Linked DNA regions of Arabidopsis thaliana. The protein of the gene in region 1 purifies or fractionates together with the protein of each later gene. This does not show direct contact. Each region holds a gene or a part of one and is shown in the gene's direction. Other genes may lie near its edges. The genes, in order: CAM6, ROC2, MAPKKK20 and WRKY53.

Evidence for each region.
Region 2: the proteins of CAM6 (region 1) and ROC2 purify together in Arabidopsis thaliana (affinity purification with western blotting, with the first as the bait; one study listed by BioGRID). This does not show direct contact.
Region 3: the proteins of CAM6 (region 1) and MAPKKK20 purify together in Arabidopsis thaliana (affinity purification with western blotting, with the first as the bait; one study listed by BioGRID). This does not show direct contact.
Region 4: the proteins of CAM6 (region 1) and WRKY53 purify together in Arabidopsis thaliana (affinity purification with western blotting, with the first as the bait; one study listed by BioGRID). This does not show direct contact.

Annotation. Positions count from the first base shown.
Region 1 is NC_003076.8:7,213,095-7,218,510, reverse strand, and holds CAM6 (calmodulin 6), read left to right. Parts: upstream 1-2,458; 5' UTR 2,459-2,560; coding exon 2,561-2,636; intron 2,637-3,397; coding exon 3,398-3,771; 3' UTR 3,772-4,037; downstream 4,038-5,416. Other genes in the region: CIPK26 (Ca2+regulated serine-threonine protein kinase family protein), read right to left, coding at 111-173, 260-430; AT5G21222 (protein kinase family protein), read right to left, coding at 4,811-5,416. UniProt on the Arabidopsis thaliana protein: Calmodulin mediates the control of a large number of enzymes, ion channels and other proteins by Ca(2+). Among the enzymes to be stimulated by the calmodulin-Ca(2+) complex are a number of protein kinases and phosphatases.
Region 2 is NC_003074.8:20,804,933-20,810,234, reverse strand, and holds ROC2 (rotamase cyclophilin 2), read left to right. Parts: upstream 1-2,066; 5' UTR 2,067-2,210; exon of another isoform or gene 2,211-2,383; intron 2,384-2,711; 5' UTR 2,712-2,717; coding exon 2,718-3,248; 3' UTR 3,249-3,669; downstream 3,670-5,302. Other genes in the region: AT3G56060 (Glucose-methanol-choline (GMC) oxidoreductase family protein), read left to right, coding at 4,252-4,333, 4,461-5,102. UniProt on the Arabidopsis thaliana protein: PPIases accelerate the folding of proteins. It catalyzes the cis-trans isomerization of proline imidic peptide bonds in oligopeptides.
Region 3 is NC_003074.8:18,646,777-18,651,906, reverse strand, and holds MAPKKK20 (mitogen-activated protein kinase kinase kinase 20), read left to right. Parts: upstream 1-2,385; 5' UTR 2,386-2,582; coding exon 2,583-3,611; 3' UTR 3,612-3,832; downstream 3,833-5,130. UniProt on the Arabidopsis thaliana protein: Mitogen-activated protein kinase kinase (MAPKK) that phosphorylates both MKK3 and MPK18 and regulate two separate signaling pathways involved in root microtubule functions.
Region 4 is NC_003075.7:12,391,226-12,396,569, reverse strand, and holds WRKY53 (WRKY family transcription factor), read left to right. Parts: upstream 1-2,587; 5' UTR 2,588-2,830; coding exon 2,831-3,234; intron 3,235-3,333; coding exon 3,334-3,904; 3' UTR 3,905-4,053; coding exon of another isoform or gene 4,054-4,170; 3' UTR 4,171-4,200; downstream 4,201-5,344. Other genes in the region: 3xHMG-box2 (HMG (high mobility group) box protein), read right to left, coding at 4,054-4,170, 4,261-4,345, 4,418-4,503, 4,592-4,762, 4,846-4,911, 4,996-5,101, 5,180-5,344. UniProt on the Arabidopsis thaliana protein: Transcription factor. Interacts specifically with the W box (5'-(T)TGAC[CT]-3'), a frequently occurring elicitor-responsive cis-acting element. May regulate the early events of leaf senescence. Negatively regulates the expression of ESR/ESP.

The DNA of each region.
Region 1 (5,416 bases):
GTATCAATCATTTCCTTAAAAGTTAGCTTCAGCACATTGGCTTCACATACAAAGAGCTCTAAAGCAAGCCAAAGAAAAATAGAGACACAAATAGAAAAATGGAGATATACCTCATACAGCCGCACTACATTTGGATGGTTTATCAGCTTCATAGTACAAATTTCTCTCCTTATCTGTAAAAACAATCAGGAAAGACACACATCATACTTTTGGACTGAAGATGCATCTAGTATATTATCTTATTAGGAAAGAGAGTTACCTGTTCAGCCATCTTATGCTTAAGAACCTTCTCCTTATCAAGTATTTTGAGAGCCACGCGTTCTCCTGTCTCAGTATTAACAGCACACCGAACTTTCGCAAAAGTGCCTTGTCCAAGCGTCTTTCCAACCTCATACTTTCCAACACGACGCTGAACCTTTGGCCGATTCATCACTCCGAATGTTCACCTCTTGATCTTCAAAAGCTGTTTTTGGAAAATGTAATCTCGCATATAAGAATGATTCCATGAAAAGAATCCAACACAACAACAGGCAAGATAGTGTTTCTTTGCTCAATTCACGGAAACTAAATGCAAAAAAAGTGAAAGAAACCGTCAAGAAAAGAACAGTAATATGCCACAGAATTCAATAAAGACAAAGCGTAAAAACAGCTGAAAATCCACAAGGCAATGACAAATCTAGCAGCGGAGATTTTCTCCGGAAATTCCGATCATCCTTTTTAATTACTCCAAAAACAGCCTAAATCTCTAGAATCATGACTTAGATAAATCATATATTGTTCAAGCAAGCATCTACAAATCCAAAATTCTCCACTAAACCAATATTTGTACTGATACACAATTGAAGCGAGATTCTCGAGTTAGCTACAGAACTAATCATCATCACCATCATATAATATAGAGATTATGCACACTTTACACATAAACCAAAAGCGTAAGCAACTCTCTAAGTTACCGAATTACTCATCGAATTCGAAGCAAAAACATGGAGAATCGACCAACAAACCTGCAAAATTGGACGGAGAAAAGTGAGCGAGTAGAGGTGACAAAACCGATGTAGCCGCCTTTGGGGAGCTCAAGAGTTAGCAGGAGAAATTCAAAAGAAAATCTATGGCGGAGAATTCGCAGGAGAAATAAAAAAATGATGGGCTAATACAAGGAGCAACAAGAGATAGAGATGCGACGAAAGAGATACGATGATTGTAGAGAAATTTGTAGCTAACAGACAAAAACTTATTTAATTTCGTGTAGGGACTCTCTCACTTTAATGGACACTTGTTTTTTAATTTTTTTTTTTCGTATGGGACAATTATACGTTTCTTTCCTTTGTTAAGCTCCTCAATTTTCTTAAGAAATAAAATTATGTTTTTTGCCTTTTTTGGTCAATTATTTTGGGTTAATTAATGTAATGACAAAATATTTGAGTATTCAGATTTTGACTAGATATGGACCTAATCAATAGGTGTTTTTTTTTCTTTCTCATTTGAGTTGTTTCTAAGTAATCGATGAATTCTTATGTTTTTGTTACAGACCATTTAAAAAAAAAAATAGTTGTAACTGATTTTATCCACTATTATATATTTTTAAGTCTTAACTCTGAAGTATATATGAGTTTTTTGTAAGAAAGAAAAACCGTTGCTTCTTCACTCTCACTTACTTACTAGTCACTACAAAGTTCAACAAAAGTCATACATTGCAACCGTTTTGTGTAGTGTCAATGGTTATAGACTGATGACAATTATTAGAACATTGAACAAATCATCAACGGCAAAAGCTCATTAGACTCATTTGTAGCGAGTACATATATATTCTAGAGGTGTGGAATAATAAGACTCATATAAATGATCGAACACTCTTTTTGTTTTTAATATAAAAACTAAAAAAATTTAAAAACAGTTTACTTGGAAAAAATGTAGAGATATTGACTAACTTTTTTATTAAGTATCCATTTAAATTAAAACAAAACATGTAAAATCGATTCAAGTTTAACTATTTCTACAAAAAAGTGTATTCATGTAAAATTTTTGCTTATACATATCCGTTTCTGTAACGTAAATTTAGAGGATACTCTAATCATTTCATATGTATCCATATATTATTTTTTTCAACATATTATAAGTTTTTTTTTAATTTTCCAAATTAATTAATATCCTTAAATATCTATCCTAGTTTAAAAACTTTTTATAATTAAATATTTAAATGAAAAAAATAATGTCAAAAGTTTAATTGATATACTGTAAAATATTCTACTAAATCAGTTTTGAAAATAGTCAAAAAAAATTAATAATTGTTAATTTGATAGATTTATTACCTAGTATATATGTCTAAATTAACTGCAAAGGTTATAGTTTTCTTTATAATTGTCTTAAAAAACTAAACTAAAAAGACAAAAAAATCATAAGAATTACTGAATTAGCTAGTAAATCTTTAGAGGCCCAACCATAAGTTGTTGGGCTCTCTCTCTTTTATAAGCTCTCTTGCTGAATTATTATTAGAGAGGCAAATAATATATTCAGTAGCAAAAAAAAAATCTGGGATTTCTAAAAAAAGGTAAGAAGGAAAATGGCGGATCAGCTCACCGATGACCAGATCTCAGAGTTCAAGGAAGCCTTTAGCCTCTTCGATAAGGATGGTGATGGTATGTTTCTTTCCCAGATCTTTGCGTTTTTTCCCCGATGATTACTCCGTCCGTATACGAGTTCTGGAATTTGTTTGACAGATTTATGATCTTCTTCAGTTTTCTGTATGATTCGTGTTTGTTTCACTTGTGAACGATCTAGCTTTTGGCTAATTCGATAGCGATTCATGACTCACGCTGTGTTTTGTTCTTGTTCTGGTTCAGTCTCGTGATGCAGCAATGAAATGTTTTGGGAAATTTATCCATATGTTGAGATTTTGAGTAGTTTAATTGTTGAAAAAAGGATTGATGTTGTAGATATCAGGAATGTATTCTGCTTTGATTGGTGAAAAACTTGCAAAATTCTGTTGTGCATTATTGGCCTTTGCACGGTGAGATGTGGGTTCAATAGAACGAAGTGGCTAGGGTTTTGATTCTGGCTTTGATACCATGTAAAGAGATTTGGAGAAGAATATTGTGTCTTTTTAATACACATGATTCTAGATTTGCTAGTACACACACATAAGGAAAGACGGAATAAACACAGAATATTTCTTTTACCCTAACACTTTAGGTAGGACTTGGAAGAGTGATTATTTTTAGTTTGTATGAATGGAGTTTCTTTGTTAACTTAGTAGGACTTTGTTGAATGAAAAAAAATCATTCTCTTTTTTACTTACCAGATCTTCATCAGTCGAAATAAGAAATACAATGGCTTTTGTTTGTTGACTGTGGATATAAGTCTGTCTCTAAAAGCTTATTATACCTGAATCTGGTTGCAGGTTGTATCACCACCAAGGAGCTCGGAACCGTGATGAGGTCTCTGGGGCAAAACCCAACAGAAGCTGAGCTTCAAGACATGATCAATGAAGTTGATGCAGATGGGAACGGGACCATTGATTTCCCGGAGTTCCTGAACCTGATGGCAAGGAAAATGAAGGACACTGATTCAGAGGAAGAGCTCAAGGAAGCTTTTAGGGTTTTTGATAAAGACCAGAATGGTTTCATATCTGCAGCAGAGCTTCGACATGTCATGACAAATCTCGGTGAGAAGCTATCCGATGAGGAAGTTGATGAGATGATCCGAGAAGCGGATGTTGATGGCGATGGTCAGATTAACTATGAAGAATTCGTCAAAGTCATGATGGCTAAGTGAGAGAATTTTATCTTAAGCCCACAAAAAGAAACAAGATTTATGATTTCTACAGTGAAGTTACATTATGACTTGATTCTGGTTGCGTTCTTTAGGACATCATTTTGCTTATTTCCCTTGTTTGTTTGGTTAAGCCTTTTAGTGTTATGTGAAGTATGAACTCATATTTTGCTCTCTTTTTTGGGCATCTGATTTTATTCTGTAAATTTTTGTTAGTTGTTGTTTATCTTAAAGCAATGCCCTAAAATTTGGCCGCGTTTAAAATACCAGTAAGAGAATTGACCAACGAAAACGATTTTGCAACATCGCCAACGTTATTGTTATTTTACATGAAAAATATAGTAGTTATATGTATCAATAAAATTTACAAACCATTTTGTTTCTTAGTTTGTAAACCGTAAGTCCCTAACCTTCAAACCTTTTTTCCATTAGGATCATCAAAATTGGAAATTCTTTAGAAACAAATGTAAGTAGCCTCTAAATCTATTGTTGTCTAAAAGTTTTTTAAATGATCAAAGAGGTTGTAAACCTAATTTCGTACACTCCCTGATGCTAGAGAGACCAAAAGATGTAATGTGACCATCTCCCAAACGAAAATTGGACTCTTGACCTCTAGGTCCAGAGACTCTTTAGTCAACTAAGTTTGTTGGTGGATGCTTGGTTTATATAGGGTCAATGTTAACCCGATCCAGATAGCGAACCGGACTACCTTATAGGTCATCAGATCATCGTATTCACCCGCGGGTCAAATTATTATAATTTATTCTATAGAGATTATATAGTTTTATAAAGAGAAATTGCCTCAAATATCACATAATCAAGTTTTTGGGACACAATTAGCACCAACTTTTCGATTAAGAAACAAAAAAATACAATCTAACATTATCCATCTCATTGTCTTGCTTGTTAAACACCATATTTTTCATTTAACTGAAAAAGTATATCTGTACAGAAAAATAAATCTTAAAAATCGATCGACACCAATCTTTGATCAGCTTTTCTTACCCTTTAATTTAGCTCCATCTCTACAGCAAAACAAATTCTACATGAACTTACAAAATCTCCCGGCTTCCCCAATCTGGTCTCTGCACAACACCACCAAAAGAGTCTGCCTCAAACCAAACTGAGACTTGATACATAGCTTTGGTTTTTCAGGCATTCCTTTTAAGAACAATGGACTTCTCGACGAGGCGATATTATTTGGGATATTGAGTTTAGAGGAAGTTGAGAAGGAAGAGCCCAATGTATTGGCATCATTACTATTAGAGACACCAATAGATTTCCATCCATCAGCTATGAGTTGCATAGTTTTCCTTGTGGGAACAACATTCTTCCCTTCCATGTCTTTCAGAAGCTCTTCTGCTTTCCATGGCTGCTTCGCTTCCCCAAATCCCCATATAAGAGTCTCGTAAGTAGTCAAGTTAGGCGATAAACCAACGATTCCACACATTTTCTTATATACCTGCATCGCTTTCTTCATTTCACCAGCACTGCACCAACCGCTTATGATCTGTGTGTAGATCACTACATTTGGGCGAACACCAAATTTTCTCATCTGATTCAAGATTTGCTCCGCTTTTTCGGGCTCCCCAGCTCGAGCATACCCTTTGGCAAGGATACTAAATGCATGAATATCAGGATCTATTCC
Region 2 (5,302 bases), on another chromosome or scaffold:
CTTGAAATTGGGTTTGTTGTTGGGTCCAACGAACCGATTGAATTCAATCGCGGACGGAGTTTATATAATGGGCCTAAATCTTAATATGGGCTTTTTGATCTGTTACTGAAAGTTTTTTCTTTTTTTTTTCTTTTTGGACAACTGTTATTGAAAGCAAAAATGTAAAATAGTGAAATAAGAGGGCAAAACGAAGAAAACATCTCTCTGTCTAAAACAAGCAAATAAATGGAACGAAATCCATACCAAGAACAACATTGACGCCGGGTATATATTTCCGTCAGCAGATTCTCCATCTATGGCTCAAACAAATAGATCCAAAATCAAATGAATATGTTTTGGAAATAAATATTATATTTTGTTTCAATGCAAAATTCCAATGATTTGAAGTGAAGTGATTTGATGAAGGAGTTGAAGTGATTTGAGTTTAGATAAAAATTTAGATGATTTTGACGATTTAAAATTTTAGAGAGTTTTGACAATTTTTTAAAATGACATATAAAATAACACATAAGATTAAAAGAGACATTTACGAATAATATTAAAGACATTGAGTTATTTTATGAAATCAATAATGAAACTAATGAAATGACGATTTGGATAATCACCGGACCATTATATAATTTCATTATTTCAGAATAGTGATTTGGATAATCACCGGATAATTAATACTATTATCTAAGTAAAATAATTATGTGAATTTCAGCATAAACTACTAAAATTGCCATTGTGATTTTTCAAAAATAATTTAAATTTGATTAACTAGATGTTAAAATGAGTAATCGGTTCATGGATTAAATCACTTTATAAAATGATCTACCTCCATCATAACCTATTAGATTGAAAGATAGGTTCAGAGTTTGTGCAAAAAAATCTATAGCATACACATCTGAACTATTTCTCTTTGGTCAAAGAATCCTAAGTCTATTTCTGGTATTAAAGATGACATCCGAAAAGCCCTTTTAAAAAGATATTCAGGAATCAGTATAAGATATTCTGAGGGAAGTCAATCAGAAAATGATATTTGGTTAGCTCTGGTGGTCAATATAATTGAAACCCTCAACAGTCCAACCATAATTGAAAACATTTGTTTTTCCTAATCGATGATTTCCACGTTTTACATTAAAATTGTCTATTTCTAACACTGTAGAGTGATTAGTAGTATAAAGATAGTTTGAACGTCAAATATTATACTACATACTGTTTAGTGCTGACTCTTGTCCACCTTATAAACATCTGAAGTCAAAAGGATGCTGAAGTCATTAGAGTAAATATTGAGAGGAAGAAGTCTTATCGTCGCCCCATTTCACTTATCATTGGGTGAGATCGGTCTTGAAGAAAGAGAGTTAGAGAGGAAAAAGAAGAATCTTATTAGCTCTATAATATCTGATATTGCTTCTCATTTAGTTTTTCACTTTTTACATTAAGATTGGTTGTTTGTAACATTATGGAGTGGTTAATAGTATAAAGATAATCTGAATATTATAATATATAATGTAGAGTCTTGTCCACCTAATAACCATCTCTTCAAAAGCATTGTTCTATGATCTGATTTTTCGGAAAGACTCTGCACTTCTGTTGCACTTCTGTTGTTGGACACTTTCTCTTTGCTAATAAACCACTAACACAAGTCCAAGCGACCAGAGAATCCATTTCTTCTTGTTTTATTAGAGCATTCATAATAAGGCCAAGATTATAAATCATCCGAAAAGCCCAAGTGTCCTATGTAATTTATTTTCCAAAGCTCATTTAATTAGATCTAAGCAACTAGGTTCATATATATATAGTCTCTTGTAATGAACATCAAATAGTTAACTTTGAAAGCAATCTCAAAACATTGAGATTTATGTTGTTAAAGAGCTTATTAAGATAGCAACACGAGATTGAAATTAGATAGCTTATTAAAGCTTTAATTAGCTCACACGAACCAATGTGAAATGGGGTTTGTTGTTGGGTCCAAGTCCAACGAAACGATTATATTTCTTGGATGGTAGTTTTAATAATGGGCCTGAATCATATGGGCTTTTTGATGAGACTGTGACGGTAAGAAAATAAAAAAGGGCAAAACCGAGAAAACAGATCTCTCTGTCTCAACTCAAACAATCAAAAGCCCTAGTAAAACCCTAGCCCCCAAAGCCCTTGTGCCATTGAGCCGTTATATAAATCCTTCACTCGCTCCTTGAGAAGACGAATTTGAGATTGCCTCTGCAAAGGTACTTCATTTCGGTGAACCCAATTCATGTTTTCGATGATTTTTGCTTCTCTATTTCTTCGATTTTGCGTTTTATCGCGTTAAAAGCACATATCGAAGGCTTGCAGATAACGTATAATAAAAAACGCCTGCGAGCTCAATATTTGTGCAATATCCTAAAACCATCCATTTGAGGTTTCGATAAATCTCTGTGTTATAAGAATTTATCTTTTCTTATCGACAATTTCGATGGATGGGACATTTATTAATCGGTTTTATGATTTTTAACATTGTATGAGAAAATCTGAGTCAGATCTGAATAATTGAATCCTTATTCGTCTGCATTGATCGGAAAATAGTACCACTTGGGTTTTATCTAGTTTACTTTAAGGTGCTCATAGAGTGGTAATCTCACAATTGTTGTTGTTTGAACAATTTGGGACCTTTGTTTGCATGATTTAGTCTCTTATATACCAATTAGAATTTGGGACCATCTGCTGATTCATATCTTTGTAATTGACAGAGTAAAATGGCGAATCCTAAAGTCTTCTTCGACATCTTGATTGGTAAGATGAAGGCAGGGCGTGTTGTAATGGAGTTATTTGCAGATGTGACTCCGAGAACAGCTAATAATTTCCGTGCTTTGTGCACTGGGGAGAATGGTATTGGGAAAGCAGGGAAGGCTTTACACTACAAAGGCTCAGCCTTTCACCGTATAATCCCAGGGTTCATGTGTCAAGGTGGAGATTTCACTCGTGGGAATGGAACTGGAGGAGAATCTATTTACGGGTCTAAATTTGAAGATGAGAACTTCAAGTTGAAGCACACTGGTCCAGGGATTTTGTCTATGGCTAACTCTGGTCCCAACACTAATGGTTCTCAGTTCTTCATCTGCACAGAGAAGACTTCGTGGCTTGATGGGAAACATGTTGTTTTCGGGAAAGTTGTTGATGGATACAATGTGGTCAAGGCAATGGAGGATGTTGGCTCTGACATGGGAAATCCTTCTGAACGAGTTGTGATTGAAGATTGTGGTGAGCTCAAGAACCCAAGTTCATAAGTTCTTAAAACATTGGGTGGGTTGATCTTGACAGGTTATTCTATCATATGCTGTGAAGCAGAGACAGCATCTTAGCGTTAAGGTCAATCTAGTCTGTGATGCACTACTTTGGTTTTGACTATATCATATGAACCTTAGGAAGTGGTCCATCCTTGTAAGTTGTTTTCTTAAAACTCTTGTGTGAGAATAGGATGGATGATAATAATGGTTAGTTTCTTTATGAAGACATTTGGTTTTGTAGCTTTCTTATTTTGGTGTAGTTAATATGAATGAACCAAACTCTTCTTAGGACTCATTTGCGAATATGTATCCAAAATTGCTGACTTTTCGAATTGGGCAGATTTCACTTCATATGCAGAACAAGATAAACTTTCTGATCATGTGATGATAAATATTGTTTAGCCAACGCATCACACATTTCTTTGAGTAGTTTCTACTTATGGTTAAGTTTCAGCATCAATAGTCAATAGCCAACAATATTTGGACAGTCTTCTTTAAATACTCCAACAACTAGTTTGCCTTGGCAATTAATGTAACTTAAAGTCTAGCCAACTCTTTGGTATTAGCTTCGTTATTTTATACATTTCTTAAAACCATTTTATTCACATTTCTTGACCACTTGGATTCCAACATAGTGGCCAGCCATGCTGCACCACCTCGTCAAAATTACCACAATAATTTGATTTGGTCAAATCATCATTTTTTTGGAAAACAACAACAAAAAAACTTAAACTTTGTATAATAAGGACCCTGGGGTTAAAAGTATAATTATTACTATGTAACAAATCAAAGTCTAAGATGGAAAATACTATAATCCGTTGACTTAAATGTGCTAGAAAAAATAAAGAGGTCGAAGCCAGGTTATCATCGAATAAGACTTTTGCCGCAACCGTGAGAGATGTTCCTGTTTGTTTTTTCTTTTCTAAATGTTGGTTTATAAATAGCATATTTTTTTTCCTTGGCCCCAATAGATAAAGAACCAAACCTATAATCTTCCTCTATAATGAATTTTCATATCTTTCGATTTTTTCAATTTATCCTCGTCGCAGTTTTCATCTTCCACGACTCGTGTTATTCCGATGAAGGTACGTGAATTTTTAGTTTCCTTTTACCAATCATTCAACTTATGTTTTTTTTTTTTTTTTTTTGTTATACCTTACCTTAGTGTACTAATATGAACTCCAACTTTATGAAAAATATGTTTTCGTGTAGCTGGAAACTATAGATTTATGAAAGATGCAACATTAGCACCAAAGTTATCTCACTTCGACTACATAATCATCGGAGGAGGAACCGCTGGATGTGCATTAGCCGCAACGCTCTCTCAAAACGCAACCGTTCTAGTCCTCGAACGCGGAGGTTCCCCTTACGACGATCCAGCGGCAACAGACATCGGAAACTTCGCAAACACACTCTTGAACATAACTCCAAACTCATGGTCGCAGCTTTTCATCTCCGAAGACGGCGTTTTCAACTCACGCGCTCGTGTACTCGGTGGAGGCACAGTCATAAACGCAGGATTCTACTCACGTGCGGAAGAAGATTTCGTGGCGGAAGCAGGATGGGAGAGAGACGAGGTCGAAGCGGCTTACGAGTGGGTCGAGAAGAAAGTGGTTTTTGAACCACCGGTTAACAAATGGCAATCAGCGTTTCGAGATGGGCTTTTGGAAGCTGGTGTGACTCCATACAATGGTTTCACGTACGAACATATCGTTGGGACTAAATTTGGTGGTACGATATTTGACCGGGATGGTCATAGACACACGGCGGCGAATTTGTTGGAGTATGCTAATCCGAACATGATAGTTGTCTACTTGCATGCTTCTGTCCATAAGATCCTCTTCACTATTAAAGGTAATGACGACTGATAATTGAATACATGTCTTATAATTTATTTTATTTTTCCATAACGAGAGGTATGAAAGAAGAGAGAGGAACGTTCCTGAAAAACCTAAAACAAAGCGAGAGTCAGAGAGACGTAGCTTACACGTGATCAAACTTGTTTTTTTTTTTTTTAATCACAACTTGTGTTTAATTTGTTATTGAAATATTAA
Region 3 (5,130 bases), on another chromosome or scaffold:
TACAACAGAGATAATTCTAAGCAGATAGGAAAAAAGTATCAACTACGATAAAAGCAGCCGAAAGAACAAAAAGAAAAGAAAATTCGGAGTATGTGATTGGTTCATGGTACCCAAACCAAAAAAAGAATAAAAGAGCTCCGCAAGTCGCAAGATCTTTCTTTATCCATTTATACAGAGAAATATAAAACTCTATATATATATATTATCGAGGAAGATATTTGTTAGAAGAATAAAAATACTAATAAATATGCAAGAAAATCTAGGAACAAATAAATAACTAAATTGGTGGAAAGAACATGCGAACATGTGACGGTGACGGAGTGACGGCTAAGGAATTTAAGGATAATACTAACTTCTCTGACCTCAAAGCTCGCGTTACTCTACGTTTCGAGTTTTGTGCGTTCGTCACCGTCAGATTCCGTTAATGTCCGTTATATATCTTCTTTTTAAAATTATTATAATCAGCAAAAAATCATGATATTTGTTTTAAATATTATTATTAGTATAGATTTTATGAAAATTTAAGAGCCGCAACTTGCGAAAGTTTGTTATTACTCTCTCTGTTTGGTATCGAAGACTTCAGGTCTGATTCCGACAATAAAGAAAGAAAAGAAACTAAACTTCACTCTGAAGCACTTCTTTGCCGTTCTTGACCACTCATTTATTCATTTACTATTCACCCTAACTTTTATATAGTTGAGGTGCGCCGCAATTTATTTCATGACAATCTTGCAACCTTCTGATCAATAACAAGAAAAGAACTTTGTTTTAATTTCTTGGTTAAATTTTATTGTTATATTGCCAATTCTATAGAAGAAAGTAGAAACTAATTAATCAACAAAACAAAATTGTGTGTAAACGTTTATCTATAGAGCAATATCAAAAACGTCACTTACACCCATATGTGAGTCATTGTAACAAAACTATAGTTGGGATAAGATATTTCTAACAGTACATATATTGCTCTGTAGATACTAAAAATGTAGAAACCATAAAGCAAAGGGATATATGAAAGATTGAAAGTATATGTAAAATCATGATAGAGTATTATTTTTATATGATTCTCATGCAATCATGCCATTACGACCTACAAATTAACGGACGGCCAAGCAAGTTGTTGTTGTTGTGAAAACTTCTAAATCAAGCATTTTTTTAACGATAAAAGTAAAATGTATCGTAAAGTCGTGACTAATAAAATATTAGCAAGAAGAATAATGATTGGAAGAATTGTCGGATAAAGTCATATGTTGAAGCATCAAAATCTGTTGAATTGCTATTGGAATTTGTAAGCAAACAATAAAATACAAACTATAGTACAATTCACATGTGACAACTTCATTGTATTCAGCATTTTTTCGTCTATCAATATTAGTATTTGAAAATAAACATGCAAATTGCAGCTGCTATTTAACTATCTATTTTTATTTATTAGTTTATACAAAAAAAAAATTATACTGCTTTTTTAGTAATAATCTTCTTAGTTATTGTTTTAGTGGATATCCCGAAAAGACATTAACTTTGAACTGATTTTACATAAATTATATATACAAGAAACAATTACATATAATCAATATTATATTATCGTTTTACATCATTGATCTATAACTAATCATATGCTAGTAGTTGTTGAGAAAAATAATTATTAATGCTAGTTAAAAAATAGTTATATAAAGTTAAAAAATGATGTATTTAACAAAATTGTGTGTGTTTTATTTAGTCTTTATATATTCGTTTAAGAAAACACTGGGAGAAAATGCAATAACGTTACTAAATTGAGAAGGAATTGATTCTTGGAATCACCAAACAACACCACAAACCTCAACTTGCAATTTTTATAATTTTATCTTATCAAGTATCAACGTCCTTGAAAGAAGACCAACCTCATTGGTAATACTCTAATAGTCTAATGGATGTCTTAAGCATAATTTGGTTAACTAATACTAATCGTCGTAGATTGGTTAATAAACTTAAGGTCAAGCTTCCGTTAAAGATTGACCATCAAATTTCTTGATTTCAAATCCTAACACCATTTAGAAAGAAAGAAAGAAAAAGTAAATGTGTTTTTCTTTTTGTCAATAAGTAGTACTCCTTAAAATTTAAATATTGGTAAATGATACACTGATATGGGAGTAATTAACCTAAAGATTCTGTAAAATCTCGTAGTAACCAAAACCAAAGTCATGCGATAATATTGATTTTCCCAAGTTAATAAATATTTTGTTACTAAATTTCGTTTTTAGCAGCCCAACGAGAAAAATATCAAATATCCGCTTTCATCACGTGCATTAATTACCCCAAAAATTCAAGACTAAGGAAAACAAATATCACAATTAAAAATAATAAAAACTTGATAGTATATAATGAAGAAGTTCCACCATAAGGCACAATTAACCGTCACGAGCTACATGCTCTGTATCTTCAGATTTCCTAAATACTTACAATTCCCATTCCAATTCTGATTTGGTTAATCCAAAACAAAAAAAAAGGAAACTTTCTTTTACCCTAAATCTATAAAAACGAAACCCTTCTTCACAAATCTTTGTTCTTCGTAATCTCTCTTAAAAGCTTTTGTTTCAATTTCAATGGAGTGGGTTCGAGGAGAAACAATTGGGTTCGGAACCTTCTCTACTGTCAGTACAGCGACAAAGTCTAGAAACTCCGGCGACTTTCCTGCACTTATCGCTGTGAAGTCGACGGATGCTTATGGCGCCGCTTCACTCTCCAACGAGAAATCGGTGTTGGATTCACTCGGTGATTGTCCTGAGATCATACGGTGTTACGGCGAGGATTCAACGGTGGAGAACGGAGAAGAGATGCATAACTTGTTATTAGAGTACGCTTCGAGAGGAAGCTTAGCGAGTTACATGAAGAAACTTGGCGGTGAGGGTTTACCGGAGTCCACCGTGCGTCGCCACACAGGATCAGTGCTTCGAGGGTTACGTCACATCCACGCTAAAGGGTTTGCACACTGCGATATAAAACTCGCGAATATTCTGTTATTTAACGACGGCTCTGTTAAAATTGCCGATTTCGGTTTGGCGATGAGAGTTGACGGAGATTTAACGGCGTTAAGAAAAAGTGTGGAGATTAGAGGGACGCCGTTATACATGGCACCGGAATGTGTTAATGATAACGAGTATGGATCAGCGGCTGACGTGTGGGCTTTAGGATGTGCTGTAGTTGAGATGTTTAGTGGCAAAACGGCATGGAGTGTTAAAGAAGGATCACACTTCATGTCGCTTTTGATACGTATAGGTGTTGGTGATGAGTTACCGAAGATTCCAGAGATGTTGTCCGAAGAAGGCAAGGATTTTTTGTCGAAGTGTTTTGTTAAAGATCCAGCGAAAAGATGGACGGCTGAGATGCTTTTGAACCATTCGTTTGTAACCATTGATCTTGAAGATGATCACCGAGAAAACTTCGTTGTGAAGGTTAAGGATGAGGATAAAGTATTGATGTCTCCAAAGTGTCCTTTTGAGTTTGATGATTGGGATTCTTTTACATTGGATTCAAACCCCTCGTTTGATTCTCCGGTGGAGAGACTTGGGAGTTTGGTTAGTGGTTCGATCCCTGATTGGTCTGTCGGTGGGAGTTGGCTTACAGTCCGGTGATGAAAGTTATATGAAAACAGAGGAAAAACAGTGTGTTTGGAAGGCTAGGGCTTTTTTTTAGCACCTAGTTAGACCCATTCTACGATTCTTGTTCGTATTCTTTAGGTGTAATTGATTTGTTAATACAATTCATTCTAGTGTTCCTTGACTTGCTTTTGTTGTGTTATTAAATTTTGAGGATTTAGTAGCTCGTTAATACAAGAGATATGATCATAATCAATCCATCAAAAAAGTGGTTTAGAAAAGGAAAGAGAAGAGCAAAATTGGTGTGTTGAGAGTAAGATTAAAGAATGTTATTGACAGAGGATAGTTCGTGGCCACCACACGACAGCTTACTTGAATACTTTGCTTCAAGTAAAACAAGCTTCTCTTGCACCATATACTCTGCTCAACACGATAGCATTTTGGATCCCTCGTCGCTGTTAATTGAATTTAGGCCCATTTGGTTTTAAGAGGCCCGTTATGTTTCGATAGCTTTATTTATTGACACAGCCCACTCGATGATTGTTAATATGTTATTTATTAGCCATCAAACCTTGTAACAACAATATCTTATGGAATGTGACCCAATGAAAAAAGTACTTTTTGGTTTAAAAGTTAAGAACCAATACAAGTAGTTGTCATTAGAAAATCTTCATCTCTGAGTATGGACTTGTGTCACAAAATGGCTTCAAACTGATATATATGATTTTGTGTTTGCGTCATCTTGTGTTTGTCCCATTTCAATTCAAAAGTGATTGTGTATTTGACTTAGGTCGGTGCAAGTCTATGTACATTTTGAAGCTCTATATATTCTCTCGCAGTTAAGAGTTTCTATTCTAATAAGCTTTTCATATGCGCAGTTGTTGAGTATTGTGAGTCAGATAGTTGTTGAGTATTGTGAGTCAGATAGGGAAAGACATAACATAAAGGAATCTAATCAAGAGATAAAAATTTATCAAATTCATAGTTATTCTAATTCGGTTAGAGCATTTTCATTGGACAAATAATGAGGATGTCTTTAATTATAATAAGAATAAAAAAAGAATAAAAATAAAGTTTATCGGAGAAAGATGATGTCTCTCCACATACACTAAGAGCAAGTCCATCGGCAGTTTTTAATGAGTTTCTAGCTAATTAAAAGTCCAAAACTAAATGAAAACCCAACTAAATAGTTAGGATCGATCCCAATATTAGTTTTTTTGGATGGGTTTAGAGACGCCGACGTGGTCGACTGACTGTAAGTCGTCGAAAAACAAAAAAAATTACAACACTCATGTTTTCCTTTTTCCTCTCGTTTTTCACTTCTTTGTTTTGTCCGACGGCCGGCGATTCGAATCGATTTGATCTCCGACGTATCGAGCATGAAATCGGGAGAGAAGAGCCAAATCATCGACGACTTGGTTCACCAATTCCATTCTTCGAACCATACTCATATAAGAGTGTCTTGGCTTCTCTCTAAATTCCAAACAGAGAATTTTCTATCATGATTTCTCTCGCTCTTGCCCTTAAAAAGGTTAGATCTTTTGTGTCTTTATCA
Region 4 (5,344 bases), on another chromosome or scaffold:
TCGAATATGTGTTGACTATATCAAAGGGATTGAAAGCAATGTTTTTCCGTACATGAGTTTTTTTTAAATTGTTTGGCATTTTCCTACTTTACTAATTTATTGCTGTTTTTAGCGAGTCCAATTGGCTACTGATATTTGGCATAGCAAATTATATTTTTTTTTCATTCTACTAAAAATACTGTGCAGCGTTGACACACACACACAAAATACTGTTGCGTAATTAGAAATAAATGCGATACTTAATGCCGTAAAGTTTACAGATCATACAAAAAAAATCTTCTTGGTTTTGTAATGAAGCAATGCAGAAATAATATGTCAACTTACGTCATTATCTTGTGAGCTGATTCAAAGATTTCAAGAGTTATGTTTTGGATGCAAATATGTCAAATTACATAATTTCAGCTGATTCTATGAAGTGTAAATACAAATTTAGGGTGCAAAGTGCCAAGATTCATTTTATAAGGATGAATGATGAATGAGATCCAAATAATAATAATAATACAATGAATGAATGACGCAAAAGAGAGTGACGCCATTATAAAAATTAAAATATCATTTGGAGTACTAAAACTAGAAAACAAAAAAGAATGATAAAAGGGAAAATCCACGCGGAGAGAGGTTTGAAATGTCTTCGGTCCAATCCTGTCCTTTTGAATATTGATTTTCTTTTTGATTTTTCTTGCTTTTTATTAATCAACAAATCTGTTTTTTGGAATTACGTTTTTTCTACGTTGAAGTGATTTTTTTTCCTTTTGTAAAAGGCCTACGTTGAAGTAAAATTACATAAATAAATGTATGTTATGAATATCGACCCAAAAAACAAATTATTTCTACACTATACTTTGCGCAAATCAAATCTATCGAAAACGATTTTGGTAATCCCATTCCCATGAGTGAGTTTTGACCCAAAACAAATTTAAAAAAGTAACCATTTCATTAGTAAAACGGTAAATATGGTTCATAAACCTTTTAGTGGTTATTGGTCCTGTACACTACACTCGTGTGTGTCAACTTCAGCTATGAGATTTTTGCTGTAACTTTTTGGATAACGGTTCAATTATTACAAAGGTTATTTCTTACGTATGAGAGGTCCAAATTACAATTGAATAATATTTGATGACATACAAAGTTAAAAAGGATTAATCATAAGAAATGAATGTTGGAATGGAATGCATCTATCGATCTGACTACTTTAGATAGCTTGATGTTGGACTTAGTCAGCAAAGACCTTATCATACTCTTGTTGTATTGTATATATCGTATCACACAGTGACTGGTTTTTTCTACTTTTCTCTTTGGAACATATCAATCATTATGTATAAATAAATTTTGTCCAAATTAATGGCCATTTGTCTCAACCATAAATAAATATTTATTCACACACCTATATGACTATTTGAGATAATTCCATGGTGACTTGGTCAGCAAAAACCTTGTCATACTCTTGGTGTATTATCACATAACTTTGTAGATTATATTCTTATGGAACATATCATATATATTTGTCCAAATTAAACCCATTTGTATTATTTTCCCCTCTCGAGTTTAATATTTCTTATTTAGAAACAGTTAACAACTTGACATAGCTCACATAATCACTCACAGACTATATATGTATAAGCAACTACCATTTTAAATATTATTTAGTTATATTGTTAGACTGCAACTATTATTTATTTTCTTTGCCAAACAAATTTATATTTTTTCATGTTAATACAATATTATATCTTGAACAAATGTATGCTTAAATATATTGACACAAAACAAAAACATATAGGGGTTTTTAGGAAGAAATTTTGTACAGATTAATTAATCCTCATCAGATTTTTATTTTATATCTTATTTTTAGAAGTGTATGATTTTAAAACTAGAACAATCAAATCTTAGTAAATTTCATTCAACATAATTTTTATGTTATTGCTAATCTATTGAATGTTAATAAGAATTGTATTATACCAAATTACCAATATGTGTTTTGATACTTGTACTTAAAACAGAATGTGGAATATCCTTTCCCTTATTAATGATATTAAACATCATTACAATTCATAGTTATAGCAATGAAATATTATCCATAGAAAGGTTGTTGCATAATGCATACTAGTAAAGCATCAACCAACATATTTTGAAAATATTCTTAATCAAATAAAAAACATATATTGGAAATTCTTTAACAGTAGAAAAAAACATATAATAATAGAGAATCTTAATCACATGTACAAAGTCGTAGTTTTGAAAGTGTACATTGAAAGAGACAGTTGTATAACCCTTTGTTGTCTAATTATATAATTAACCCACTATAGTTAAATAAATGATAAACTTGGTTACAACTACATTAACAAAATTGAAATGTTGAATTGGTCAGCCTTTGACCTTATACTCTTTCACTACCACCACCCCACTTATCAATTACACTCTGGCCCTATACTTCCTTATACCAAAGACTTTTCTTCAATTTGAAAGTTTTGTCTCTCTTTTAAAAAGAAATAAAATAATTATTTATGGTTTGGTCATTTGGTCAAATTTTCAAACACTGAAAATCCAATGCCTTTATATACCAAACCAACACTCATCCATTTTTATCACCAATCCTATAACACTCTCATTCTCATCATATCATTCTTCAATCTATATAACCCATTCTTAATTATACTCAACACACATTATATTTTTCTGATCATATCATTCTTTCAGTCCATCTATATAACCAATTCTTGATTTATACTTAAAACACACATTATACATCTTTCTCATCATAGTTTGTATCAATTTCCTAGAGTAAACTACCTAAAGGAAAAAAAAAATCTATTTTGGGAATCATATACTAAAAATGGAAGGAAGAGATATGTTAAGTTGGGAGCAAAAGACATTGCTAAGCGAGCTTATCAATGGATTTGATGCGGCCAAAAAGCTTCAGGCACGACTTAGAGAAGCTCCGTCGCCGTCGTCATCATTTTCATCACCGGCGACGGCTGTTGCTGAGACTAACGAGATTCTGGTGAAGCAGATAGTTTCTTCCTACGAGAGATCTCTTCTTCTGCTAAACTGGTCATCCTCACCGAGCGTACAACTTATTCCGACGCCGGTTACTGTAGTCCCGGTGGCAAATCCCGGCAGTGTTCCAGAATCTCCGGCATCGATAAACGGAAGTCCGAGAAGTGAAGAGTTTGCCGATGGAGGAGGTTCTAGCGAGAGTCATCATCGCCAAGATTACATTTTCAATTCAAAGAAAAGGTAACAAATTGTTGATATCTTTTTTCACAATTCACCAAATTGAATTTAAAAATCTCATTTTTTCTAGAAACTAATTTGAAATTTGGGTAATTTTTGCAGAAAGATGTTACCAAAGTGGTCAGAAAAAGTGAGAATAAGCCCAGAGAGAGGCTTAGAAGGACCTCAAGATGATGTCTTTAGCTGGAGAAAATATGGTCAAAAAGACATTTTAGGCGCCAAATTCCCAAGGAGTTATTACAGATGCACACATCGTAGCACACAAAACTGTTGGGCAACGAAACAAGTCCAGAGATCAGACGGGGATGCTACGGTTTTCGAAGTGACGTACAGAGGAACACACACTTGTTCGCAGGCGATCACAAGAACACCACCATTAGCCTCGCCGGAGAAGCGACAAGACACCAGAGTCAAACCAGCCATTACCCAAAAGCCAAAGGATATTCTCGAGAGTCTTAAATCCAACTTAACCGTTCGAACCGATGGGCTTGATGATGGTAAAGACGTTTTCTCGTTCCCTGATACGCCGCCGTTTTACAATTACGGAACTATCAACGGCGAGTTCGGCCACGTGGAGAGTTCTCCGATCTTCGACGTTGTTGACTGGTTCAATCCAACGGTCGAGATTGACACAACTTTCCCCGCGTTTTTACACGAGTCGATTTATTATTAATTAAAATTTGTAACAGAGAAATAGATAGTAACTAGTAAGTAATGATCAGCGAGAGTTAAAACATAAAAGTACTTAGAGTAATCTAACGATGCATAATAAGGAATGTTCAACAGGACTTGAACATGATTTCAATACTAAGAGAGATTTATCTAGCTACTGGTAGTAGCCGCAGACTTCTTGTTGTAAGCTTCCACTTCCTTTTTGTATGCTTCCATCAGTTTTGCGGCCTTTCCGTTGTAAACTTGCTTCTCTTCTTCACTCAATTCCTGCAAAGACGTATTCGCACAGATAGATTAACAACAGGAAATTGTTACAAGCCAATGTGTTTTGTTGCTAGTAATTGTGATTTTTCATACCTTCCATTTCAGTGAAATGAGAGCAGTAACAGTAGCGTTGTTTGTCCCGGGACGTTCTTCTGTCAATTTCTTCCTTTCGTCCTTGCTGTAAAAACATGATAAGTTAGGAACTTTCTATAAAGACCAATTCGGATTATAACTTGAAGTAAGTTCATACCTGAAGAGAAAGTATGAAGAAGCAGGCTTCTTTGGTTTGTTAGGGTCAACGTTTTCGTTCTTCTTCTTCTTGGTCGCCTTCTCCTTCTGCAAGAGACAAATAATTATGATCCTGTGAGTCTCTGAGTTGAAATAGACCTTGGTGAGTTAAGTGTGAGTGAGAGAGAGTTATTACCTTGATCAGATTATCAGTTTTCTCCTTCTTCTTAAGCATTTGAAGAGCTTCTTGTTTGTGGAGTTTCAAGAGTTCCTCTTCTTCTTTCTTCTGACTCAGGGCTTCTTCTTCCTTTGTCCTCTTGTATTCCTCCATTGCTTGCAGGTATGTCTCCTTGTTCTTCTTTGCCACCTATTTAAACAAGAATACCTCAATCATTCAGTCTTAAGTCTTTAATGGCAGTGAAATGCAAGCATATTTGTATGGAAACAGACCTTCTCGTAGGGTGCCTTTTTCTTGTCTGACAAGTTCTTCCACTCCTCTCCAGTGATCTTTGCGACCTATAACCACATTTAAACTCCATAAGTTAGCTTCACAATTTGACAAAAACTGATCTGGAGAACGAATTAAGTAATTAGATTTACCTCCACGACGCTTTTGTTTTCTTCGCGTAAAGCAGCTCTCCTCTCGTTTGCATAAACAAGGAAGGCAGATACGGGATGTTTTGGCTTCAGAGGGTCCTTCTCCTTCCTGCAAACCATAAACAGCTCTAGTTAGTTTACTATTGATGATCAAATTGATATAGTCACTAAGACTTTTGGTTTTTACTTGTTCTTCTTCTTGTTGTCCTGTTCAGCTTCCTGGACAAAGTTGAGATACTGATCAAGCAATTCCATTGCAGTTCTCTGCTTCTGGTCATCCTCCAGAAGCTTCATGGCCTCCTTCTCGCGCTTCTCCTTAGCAATGACCTGGAGGTAAGCTTCTTTCTCAACC